Coturnix japonica: one gene and its partners. The protein of the gene in region 1 interacts with the protein of each later gene in a pairwise test. Links are inferred from orthologs where the notes say so. Each region holds a gene or a part of one and is shown in the gene's direction. Other genes may lie near its edges. The genes, in order: HPRT1, SDCBP and ISCU.

Evidence for each region.
Region 2: the proteins of HPRT1 (region 1) and SDCBP interact in binary tests that used the Homo sapiens proteins (3 or more experiments, as listed by UniProt). The two-hybrid records come from large-scale screens. The link is inferred for Coturnix japonica from reciprocal best matches to the Homo sapiens genes HPRT1 and SDCBP.
Region 3: the proteins of HPRT1 (region 1) and ISCU interact in binary tests that used the Homo sapiens proteins (3 or more experiments, as listed by UniProt). The two-hybrid records come from large-scale screens. The link is inferred for Coturnix japonica from reciprocal best matches to the Homo sapiens genes HPRT1 and ISCU.

What each region holds. Positions count from the first base shown.
Region 1 is NC_029519.1:3,926,195-3,928,754, forward strand, and holds the end of HPRT1 (hypoxanthine-guanine phosphoribosyltransferase), read left to right. Parts: intron 1-535; coding exon 536-612; intron 613-1,218; coding exon 1,219-1,266; 3' UTR 1,267-1,927; downstream 1,928-2,560. UniProt on the Homo sapiens protein: Converts guanine to guanosine monophosphate, and hypoxanthine to inosine monophosphate. Transfers the 5-phosphoribosyl group from 5-phosphoribosylpyrophosphate onto the purine.
Region 2 is NC_029517.1:101,325,154-101,329,352, forward strand, and holds the start of SDCBP (syntenin-1), read left to right. Parts: upstream 1-1,251; 5' UTR 1,252-1,382; intron 1,383-4,199. UniProt on the Homo sapiens protein: Multifunctional adapter protein involved in diverse array of functions including trafficking of transmembrane proteins, neuro and immunomodulation, exosome biogenesis, and tumorigenesis.
Region 3 is NC_029530.1:5,668,597-5,672,669, forward strand, and holds ISCU (iron-sulfur cluster assembly enzyme ISCU, mitochondrial), read left to right. Parts: upstream 1-1,212; 5' UTR 1,213-1,224; coding exon 1,225-1,311; intron 1,312-1,387; coding exon 1,388-1,501; intron 1,502-1,834; coding exon 1,835-1,945; intron 1,946-2,667; coding exon 2,668-2,746; intron 2,747-2,962; coding exon 2,963-3,054; 3' UTR 3,055-3,505; downstream 3,506-4,073. Other genes in the region: SART3 (squamous cell carcinoma antigen recognized by T-cells 3), read right to left, coding at 748-915.

The sequences.
Region 1 (2,560 bases):
CGAAATGTACCACCCAGTGCCATTTGGACATCTCCAGCAACTTTATTGGGCTCCACAGTGTGGGACGTGTTTTAACAAGAACTTAGCCTTTGGAATGGGGATAACGTGGACTGTGCACTTTCACAATGGAAGTGGAGTGAATTCAGCCGCAGAATCACATCCTCTTCCTTCTTCTTTCCAAGGCTGTACAGTACTGATGGAAGCATCTCAACACCTTGTTCCTTAGGTTGTCTTACAAGCCTCTGCAGTTGGACTGATGCTGCCCAACCATCCAAGGGCTATCTTGCTAGAGCTGTGCCTGTTATGCATTAGAAATCAATATATAAACCTATGTAATTTTGATTTAGTTGAATTTAATGAACAAAGAATGTCAGAAGTTCAAAATAACGTGAGTATTAAGCTGAGGATACTCGAGTGGAAGAAATAAAATGTTAAGCAGCTTATGCGTTGATAAAACTACTAGTCTGTGTAAACAGGTCTGGTGAACTCAAGGAAGTTCCTTTCTAATGTACTGGTGACTTATGTTCTTTTTTAGTTGTTGGATTTGAAGTGCCAGACAAATTTGTTGTGGGATACGCCCTCGATTACAATGAATACTTCAGAGATTTGAACGTAAGTAATTTTTCCCGTGTGTTTTGTCCATTTAAAACCAGGGAGGAGGAAGGAAGGGAAGTCTCCTTACGTTACTCTCCCTCCTCTGTGTAAATCGCAGCTTGTGTGCAAGGTCAATCCATCAGTGATGAGGGCAAACCTTAGAGCAGTGCAGCAGTGTTATGGAGCTCTGATAGATCTAATGGTTGTTTTGCTTCACGTGGAACGGAGGTGATGTACCTCCTGTTGGCCTTTGAAATAGTGCGGCAGTTCATGTGAAGTTTCTTATCATACCAGATATCTACATTAAATTTGCTTAGTTACATAAAAATTAAAGGAGAGAGACCTCAAAAGCCTTTTTATGCTAAGACACAAAGTCTTCACCTGGGTCTCATATGTCCTTATAATGGACACTGAGTGGGAGAGGAAAGAGAAGGAAGGCAACGCTGAGGTTTGTAGCCCAAAAAAGGCTGAAGTTTTTCTGCACAAACAGAATCAGGACACTCCTCAGGGCTGACACTTGTGCAGCGTGCTTTTCTTTCTTTCAGAAGCGCAGTATTGACTCTGTGCCTGAACATGAGTTTCTTACCTTACGTTTCTAACCGAGCTTTCAATGTTTTGTTTCAGCATATCTGTGTGATCAGTGAGACGGGGAAGCAGAAATACAAAGCATGAAAGCACAGCTGAAGTGCTATGCCTACAAAGCTTTGAAATGTTTTGTTTACCGAATCCTATCTCTCACAGGCTTCAACTCTGGTACACCAGCTGAAATTGTAGAACACCCCAGCCCCATCGTCATATGCTTATTGTAACTTATTGCATGTACAATATAAGAATCTCGTCTTGTTCATTTATATTATAGAAATGTAAACAACTGGTGCAATTCTGCACTCCTTATTTTGATTTGCACTATGACTCTACCGACTATTGCTGCCCCTGGTTGGGTTGTGCTGTTTGTGAGCTCCGGAGTCTTAACTCTTGCAGTGGTAAATTGCTTAAACCTCATCAACCCAGAACTGAAATAGTTCGAGTACTGTAAATGTAAAACATTTTATGATAGGGAAGTCTATTAGTAATATTTTTAAAGAAACTGTAATTTAAGTTTTATATTTTAATTCACAAATGTGATTGTGATTAAAGGATAGTTGCACCTTTGGGTGGTATGAAACATGAGAAGCAGCCAGTTACAGTATCTGTAATCTCCAGGGAGCCCACTGCCACCTCCTGGAGTTGCCTTATTGCTGTAAAAAAAAAAAGGAGTCTGGGTGAAAAATGATGTCTTTTTATTTTTTCCTTTATTCGAGATGGAATGACAAAATGGAATGTTTGAAGTTTAGCTTTAGTTGAGCTGCCTGTTTCTTTCAGATTATTATTATTATTTTTTCCTTTAAAAATATCCATCGGACAGTGGAATTGCCTTTGAAATTTAAACAGTTTTAATATATTTGTGGGGGGAAAAAAAGAAGTATTGTAATGTTTACTTTATAAGAACTACAAAGCAAAGTACTTTAAAATAAAGGCTGTCTCTTTAAAATACGCCCCACACATCTATGCCACTCACTGTGTATATTGAAGTGCTCTCAAGGTTCTCTTCTCAGCACATATTTCATCAGTGCTTCTGGCAGTGAAGGCAGGCTCCACGTCTGTTACCTCTGTAGAGCTTTCTGTCAATACAGTGTTGTCTATGGGAGATAATGAAGGCCTGAGGAAAGCTTTAGGAAGACTGGCATATGCTATAACCAAACTGGATTTCAGAGAGAACACTCAGAGTGCTGTCCCTTCTGTTTTGGCAAGAGTGAAGAGCGACAAATATTCCTTCATTAAACACATAACTGCGGGGAGAGAAAAGCCCAGCCAATTTGTAAGTAATTGTTTGGTTTTATTCCTGTCTTGTTTGTGTTGTAATGCTAACCATGGCAGCGCACACCTTTCCTTCCGCTGTGCTGCTCCATCCTTTGCTTATGCACTT
Region 2 (4,199 bases), on another chromosome or scaffold:
CTTCACTGCAAGGGGCTCATTGCAGGACAAAACACTACACCCCCTTCTGAGGTGTAAGTATTGTAAATTTTTCACTGCACTTCTGTGAAAATTCACTTTTGGCTACATAGAAAATTCATCACTACAAAAGCAGTATTTGAGTTGTGCTGGAGCCTAGTTGAGGTGTCCCACAGGAGGGCCTGAGCACTGCCATGACTGGCTGAGGAGAAGCCGGCAGCTGCAGGGCAGAAGGAAGGAGCTGAAGGCAGAGACTTAACATGAGAGACTTAACATGAGGCAGAGAGACTTAACATGAGCCAGCAGTGCGCTCTGGCAGCTCGGAAAGCAAATGGGATCCTGGGCTCCATCAGGAGAGGGGTGATCAGCAGGAATAGGGAGGTGATTGTCCCTCTCTACTCGGCTCTTGTGAGGCCCCATCTGGAGTACTGTGTCCAGGTGTGGAGCCCTCAGTACAAAAAAGACATGGAGATTTTGGAAAGGGTCCAGAGGAGGGTCACGAAGATGATCAGGGGGCTGGAGCACCTCCCCTATGAGGACAGGCTGAGGGAGCTGGGTTTGTTCAGCCTGGAGAAGAGAAGGTTGCAGGGTGACCTCATTGCAGCCTTTCAATACCTGAAGGGAACTTACTCCCAGGAGGGGAGTAAACTCTTTGAAAGGGCTGATAATAGCAGGACTAGGGGAAATGGTTTTAAGTTGAAAGAGGAAAGATTTAGGTTGGATGTTAGGGGGAAGTTCTTCACTAGGAGAGTGGTTAGGCCCTGGAACAGGCTGCCCAGGGAGGTTGTGGATGCCCCGTCCTTGGAGGTGTTCAAGACCAGGTTGGACGGGGCCCTGGGCAACCTGATCTAGTAAAAGTGTATGTTTGGTGGCCCTGCCAGGCAGGGGGGTTGGAACTACATGATCCTTGAGGTCCCTTCCAACCCGGGTCATTCTGTGATTCTGTGAAGGCAGGGGCTGGTCTCCTCCTGTGGGGCTGGAAGGTTCAATAAAGGTGAAATACCTTCATTGAACACCCAGGTTTCTCAACTGGAGATAAGATTCAGGGAGCTCAGCACATCTAGTTGCCTGTCTGATGAACAAGTCGGGGACCATAGCGAAGAAGGATTTTTCAAGATGGAACATTGTGGTAAACAGATCAATGCTATAAACACAGAGAATACGTGTGGATTACGGCAATTAAGTACAGAAGCCTTTCTAACTCGCACAGAACTTCTCTGCCACGGCTACACCCTGTGTGTCCCTCAGCCCCGCCCTCAGAGCATGCGCAGAGCCGGGCCAGCTCCACCACCGCCCCCGGTCCCCTCATAGCGGCGCGGCTCAGAGTTGTGCGGGTTCTGCGGTTCTTCTGTGCGCTGACCCCTTCTTCGACGGCAGGACCGGAGGTACGGGGGAACTCTTTCCCTTTTGGCGGCCTCCCGCTGCCTTTTGTGGGTCTGGGGCGGCGTGACTTCCTCGGCGCTGTGTGAGGAGGGGGCGGGGAGCTGCCTCTGCGCCCCGAGCAGCCATTTCGTGGGGCTCCGGATTGTATGTCTGCCGATAGGAGCCCCCTCCTCACACTGTGAGGAAATGAACGCTGTGTGCGTTGGTAGCTGTTCTCTGCTTTGTGTTCGAGGTTTTGGGGTGCTGCTCCTTCCCGTTCAGACTGCGGGTCCCCGGCGTATGGCTTGATTCCCAGTCAGCCCCCCTGCCCCTCAGCCTGGGGGTTGGGCGTTCGTATCGCTTTCTGTTGGGATCCGGAGGTGGAACGGATGTGTTTTGCCTTTGTGGGAAGGTGAGCCCTTCCTCAGCTCTGAAATGGAGGCAGCACCTTCCCGAGTTTTGCTCTGTAAGGAGGGCAACGCTCGGAGGCCAATTAGGTGGTATCAGCAGGAAAACGCCGTGTGATTAGTGGAGGTCACAGCTTGCAAAACAGCTGCTGCCTTTTCCTGCTGTCTCAACCCGACCTTCGGGAAGTGACTCCTAAGTTTGGAGAAGAAACTTAACCTCACAACTTTCGAGCAGTTCCGAAAGCCAAAGCTGCTATTCAAGTGCTTGTTTTGTGGCCACAGGCACCAGTTACCTTTACTCACCCCACTCCAGCTCCTGGTACTGCCAGCTGCCTCTTTCAGAGACAGTGATAGCCACAGATCAGACATTAGCTAGATCTCAGGGTGCGTTCAGCTCTGTGGATTCCAACCCAAGGAGTGTGTTGGGCTGCCCGTTGTTCTTCATGCAAACCTGCATGTCAGCAGATTGCTCTTACCTACAGGACTCCCTGCACACAGCCTGAGTGTCACGAGTGCTGCCTGTTGGCTGGGCGCTGCCCTTGGTCAATAGGATCTGCTTGGCCAGGCATCCTGCTGAAGGACCTTCTGGCCTGAGGATACTTGGAAACAGGGATTTCTTCTTTCCTTTTTTGCTTTTGTGCTTTTCATGAAAGCCTCAGCTTAATATATATGTTCTTAATGTGCTGTAGGAACCTGTAAACAACCGGATAATGGTTCTGCTGCCAATGTAGGCTCCTGAGGGAGGACGGGAGGTGAGCAGCTCCCGCTGTGTGGTAACCGCTCCCCAGCTCCTGTCTGAAGCCGTTCCAGTGGCTGCCCAGACTTTGTGTTCAGGCTTATTATTGCTATGAGTCACTTATGGGTTCTTCCTGAGGTTCCCGGCGGTCCCTGACGATGATGGTAGCTGTTAAATGTTTGTGTTTTGAACTAAATACAGTACTTCAGGGCATCTCATGTTGCCTAATGAGACGTTGGGTGCGTATTTAACTGTTAGAAAAGCCTGTGTGGAAATAGAAAACGCTCCTTTTTTTGTAAGAGCAACAAAGCTGGTATGTAAGGAGATAAGAATGCAGTTAGCAGTGACCGTTATTCCAGTTATTTATTGGAAAACCAAAAATAGCATCCAGTGAGATTTGGAGAAGGAAGCTGGCAGGGCAACTCATTGGGAGCTGTGACACACCCGAGGGTTTGCAAGTTTCCAGTTGGGAAGGGAGGTGGCCTTGAGTGGTGGTGAAGTAGCAGGGTCAGCTTCTGGAGGGGTTTCTTTGGTGCCTGGAGAGCCAATATGAAAGTATGAGGAGCAATTTTGAGGTGATAGCCTGTGATGGGTGTTACTGGTGATCGCTATGCAGGGTGAGAGTGGACTGTAGGGAGATGGCCCAGCTGGAAGTGGGATGATATGGAATGATGGCCAGAACCAGAGACCCATCAGATGCTACAATGGGCTCTGAGTGCAGTCTGTGCTGCTGTGAATACGATGCTCTGTGTAGCTTTACTGCAGATAGAACTCTAAAATAAACAAGGGGAGATTTAAGTTAGATGATAGGGAAGAAATTTGTCTCTCTGAGGGCAGTGAGGTACGGCTGCCCAAAGAAGCTGTGATTTCCCCATCCCTGGAGGCACTCAAGGTCAGGTGGGATGGATGTCCTTGTCTGCTCCTGCCCACTGCAGGGGAATGGAACTGTATGATCTTTAATATCTCTTCCAGTCTAAGCCATTCTATGCTTTTAGCAGCAGAACGAGGTGGCTGGGGACTGCTTACCTGAGCGTGCGTTGTGCTAGGCTTTGGCTTGCATATGCTGTTCTTTTTGATGGAGCAAAAGCATTTGCATTGATGGCATTCAGGTCAATGCTGCATTAAAATGAAGTTTTACACTGTCGTTAAATGCATCTGTTTAATTTTTAATGTTTCTGGGTCTCAATTCTATTTCGTTTGTTTGCAATGACCTGACAAAAACTATCAGTTGCAAATAATGCTAAACGCGTGGCCACTTCTGTTGGGGTAGTTTAGATCTTTGTCCCGCTTTGGGCTCCCTTTGGAAATGTTAATTGTAGTGTGACATGATACTGGAGCTGCTGGGCGCTCTGCTGAGCAAGTAGAAAAGCAGTTGATGTCATTAATGTTATGTGAAGAGACATCTATTATGTTACTGCAGCAATTAATCATCTTTAGTTTGTTTAAATCAACCCAGCGTCTGCGTGTAAAGAAGCAGCAGCTCAAGGATTTATGTTTAGGTTGGATATTAGGAAGAACTTCTTTACAGAAAGGGTAGTTAGGTACTGGAATAGGCTCCCCAGGGAGGTGGTTGAATCACCATCCCTGGTTGTGTTTAAGAGCTGTTTGGATGTGGTGCTCAGGGATATGATTTAGTGAAGGGTTGTTAGAGTTCGGGTACTGGTTAGGCTGCGGTTGGATTTGATGATCTTCAAGGT
Region 3 (4,073 bases), on another chromosome or scaffold:
GCCAAGTACAGACAGACATTCACCTCCCTGCTCAGTTACACAGAATCACAGAACTGTAAGTGACAGGAAAAGGCAAAGTCCTCTGAGGATCCCTCAGTCCAACCCTCCCCCCAGCAGGTAGCATTAGAAAGCATCCCAGTGGATCCTGAGCATCTCTAAAGAAAGAAACTCCACCACCTCCCTGGGCAGCTTGTGTCAGGGCTCTGTCAACTTCACAGCGAAGAAGTTATTTCTCACGTTCAGATAGAACTTCCTGGGTTCCAGTTTGTGCCCACTGCCCCTTATCGTGTAGCTGGGCATGGCTGAAAAGAACCTGGCCCCATCTTCACGATTTCTACCCTGACAAGTGCTGCTCCCTCAGCCTTCCCTCCTGCCTCAAGGGCAGCCTCAGGGCTCCTCAAATAGAAGCTGCAGGCCCCGACCACCTCTGCAGCCCTTCATAGAAGATCCCTGTTACTAAAGCTGGGCTTTAAAGTTCTGCAGAAGACTGAACTCACAGCCCTAAGGCCCGAGAGCCCCCAAGTACAGACACAGCGCTAACACCCAGTGAGCCCTCCTCAGCAAACGCGTTTTAATTCCTTCAAGATCACTAAGGAAACCACCATCTGAGTTCACTTTCAACATACCAGGGCTGCTCCCTGAGTCTCTCTCGCCCTGAAGCGAGGAATAAAAAGCGAATTAAAAGGCATCACGCCCGGAGGCGTTTCCAGATCTCCATAACCAAAGCACGGTACAGCCGGGCCCCACCTGCTCCTCCAGCCGCTGGATCTCCGCCTCGTTCTCCTTCTCCTCATCCTCGCCGTCTCCTGATGAATCCGAGTCGCCTTCATCCTCCGAATCCCCCCCCGACTCGGGGTCTCCCTCCACCACACGCTTCTCCTCCTCCACCGCCGCCTCGGCTCCCGCCGCCGCCATCTTGTTGCAGCTCGCCTCGCTGCCGGCCGCTCTCAGCCAGCCGATGGGGTTGGCTACTGCGCGCCTGTCTCAATATTGTACATTCCCCCCAGCCAAAAGCGGTGAAAGAAAGGACGATAAACTCTCCCGACAAGGTTCTGCTCTTCTCCGCGTCCAACTGCCACGAAAAGCCGAGCAGCTCGGCCCGTTACTCCTTATAATTTAGTCTGCTGCAGAGGCAGCGCCACGGACACCTCAGGGCCTCGGCCTCCAGGGGTCCTTCGGGAGGGTTGGGGCAGAGCGCCGCTGCCAGGTGCGGGCAGACTCAAGATGGCGGCGCTGAGGGCGGCGGGGGCGGCGCTGCTGCGGCCCGGGCGGGGGGCGACGGCGGTGGGGGGGGCGGGCTACCACAAGAAGGTGAGAGGGGCCGGGTAGGGCTGTGGGGAGCCCATAGTGCCCGTTGGGGGTTGTTAGTGACACGTTGTTCTCGCAGGTGGTGGATCACTACGAGAACCCGCGGAACGTGGGCTCTCTCGATCGCAACGCAAAGAACGTGGGTACGGGCCTGGTGGGAGCCCCGGCCTGTGGAGACGTTATGAAGCTGCAGGTGAGGGGAGCACGGGGTGCCCTGTAAGGACACAACCATCAGTGTCTGCCACCATATGGCTGTGACATAGGATTCCTCCGTCACACCCCCTTTAAGCCCCTCTGCAGGCCCTAAAATCCAATAGACCCCCAGCCTTAAACTCGCTGTCCCTTTACGCCCCTCTGCAGATCCTAAAATCCAATAGACCCCCAGCCTTAAACTCATTGTCCCTTAAAGTCCCTCTGCAGGCCCTAAAATCCGATAAACCCCCAGCCTTAAACTCGCTGTCCTATCGCTGTCCCTTTGTGTGTGGTTCCTACGTGGAACTGAGCGCCCCTCTGATAACTCCCACAGGTGGAAGTGGATGAGAACGGCCGCATTGTTGATGCTCGCTTCAAAACCTTCGGTTGTGGTTCTGCCATCGCTTCCAGCTCCTTGGCAACAGAGTGGGTGAAAGGGAAGACGGTAAGGGCTTGGCTTAAGGGGCACAGTGGGGAGCAGGTACATATTCACACCCACTGCTGGGATCAGGGAAGGAAACAGGGGTCTAGAGAGGTGCTCTCCAGGTGTTACACTCACATAGAAGCTCAGAATGCAGTTTCATCTTTCCTGACTTTTAAAGCAATATTTGCCTTTTCTGGAAGTCTCCAATAAGCTGTGAAGAAGCTTTGGGTGCTACACAGCAATCGAAAATAGATAAAGAAAGCACTTGTATAGTGGAATGTCTTCCATTGGCTGATCTCCGTGTGCTTGGCATTGTGACAAGCAGGTTGTTTCTATATTACAGCAGAACAAACCTGGAACAGTCCCTGCAGTTGGTCAGCAGTAAAATAATGCTCTGGTTTATTAACAAGCACTGCACACTTTGAGACATTCCTTATATTTCATAGAATCAGGGGTTGAAATGGACCTCTGAGTATCACCTAGTCCAGCTCCTCTGCCAAAGGAGGTTCCCTGTAGTAGGTTGCAGATTTGTTGCTTGGCAGGAGCAGAATAAAACAGGTATTATTGAAAGGCCTTTCTTATGGTAGAACACTATCAGCAGCTTTTACTGCCTTCTCAGAGCGTGACTTTGGTTGGTTCCAGTGCTTTGAAGCACACCTGTATCAAATACCTGCGTGGTGTGTGGGCATCATATGTACATGTGTATGCCTGACTGATGACTGTACCCTACCCATACATTTCAGATTGATGAAGCATTGAAAATCAAGAACACAGACATTGCAAAAGAACTTTGCCTTCCTCCGGTCAAACTGCATTGCTCTAGTAAGTAAAGCATCAAACACGTTGTTATTTGAGAACACAGATGCTTTTGTACGTTCTCCAAATAAAGCTTTGCACACATAGCAGCTAAGGCTGACCCACAGTGGTGGTTATTGCTGGCTGCTTCTGCTTGTACTGCATCTTTTGTTCTAAGTGACTTGTCACTGTTATTTAAAGTGCTTGTAAATGACATTGTTTTGTGCTCTTTTTCTCCCCTAGTGCTGGCTGAGGATGCAATCAAGGCTGCCTTGGCTGACTACAAACTGAAACAGGATCCAAAGAAAGGAGAGTCAGAGCAGAAAGCAGACTAATTCCTAAACAGACTGTAGAGGTTGTCCTCATTCCAGTTCAATTTGCAGTGCAATTATTCTAGCTGTTAATAGAATCCTGTGCACTACTCAAGAAGCTGTAAGATACGCACAACTCAACGCACAACGTGTCACTGGTCATGTGTGTACAGCCACCCTGGTAGTGCTTAAATGACTGGAACGTGGGTATTTCAGCAGCCTGTGTCCTGTCAGGATTGGTTTTGAAATGGTGAGAGTGAAGGGCTGCTCTGCTTCAGGGCAACCCCCCGGTAGCTTCTCAAGAGAGAAAGAATCCTCCTGTTCCAGCATTGGAAGGGCTGCACTTTTTTTCTTCTGTATAGTTTTGCCTAATGTTTTACAAAGAGTTTGGTGGGAAACTTGGTTGCCTTGGTCTTTATGTGGGTCACTTTGTCAATCAATACAGTATATATAAATCTCATGTGGTTTGGCTGCAGCTGTGTTGGAGTTTGGTTTCACAATCTGTGACCTCTCACATGCTGTCTATCCCCTGCGTCACGCTGCTCTCTGGGAGGAGCTGGGATGCTTCACCAGGCACTAGAGGGCACTGACTGTGGGAGGTGAGCAAATAACAGCAGCTGCAGTTGGTTGCCAGGAAGCTCAGAGCCAGCAGCGTTAGCAGGACATGTTTGTGTTCACATCCTCCAATAGCAGGAGGGTTAATGTTGGAGCATCTTTTAAAAGCATTCAACCCTTTAGTTTGCCAAATACTGTTAAGGGAGATTAAACACACGCTGAGGATTCAAACCCAGAATGCAAATAGCTTAACTGGGATGTAATACTGAGGGGAACCTCCCTGGAAGAGCAGGAGTCAGCCTGTGCCCTCTGGGGGTGTCTTCTGAACTTCCCCCATCCCTTCCAGGGCAGAGAGAGCAGCCAGTGCTCTTGGTACTAAGCCAGGGGCAGAAGGGGATCCTTACCTGCTGCTGGAGCTGATTTTGGATGCTATTTCTGATAGCTTCTGTTGTTGCCTTTGGTAGTTTTAGGGCTGGATTCTCTTCATT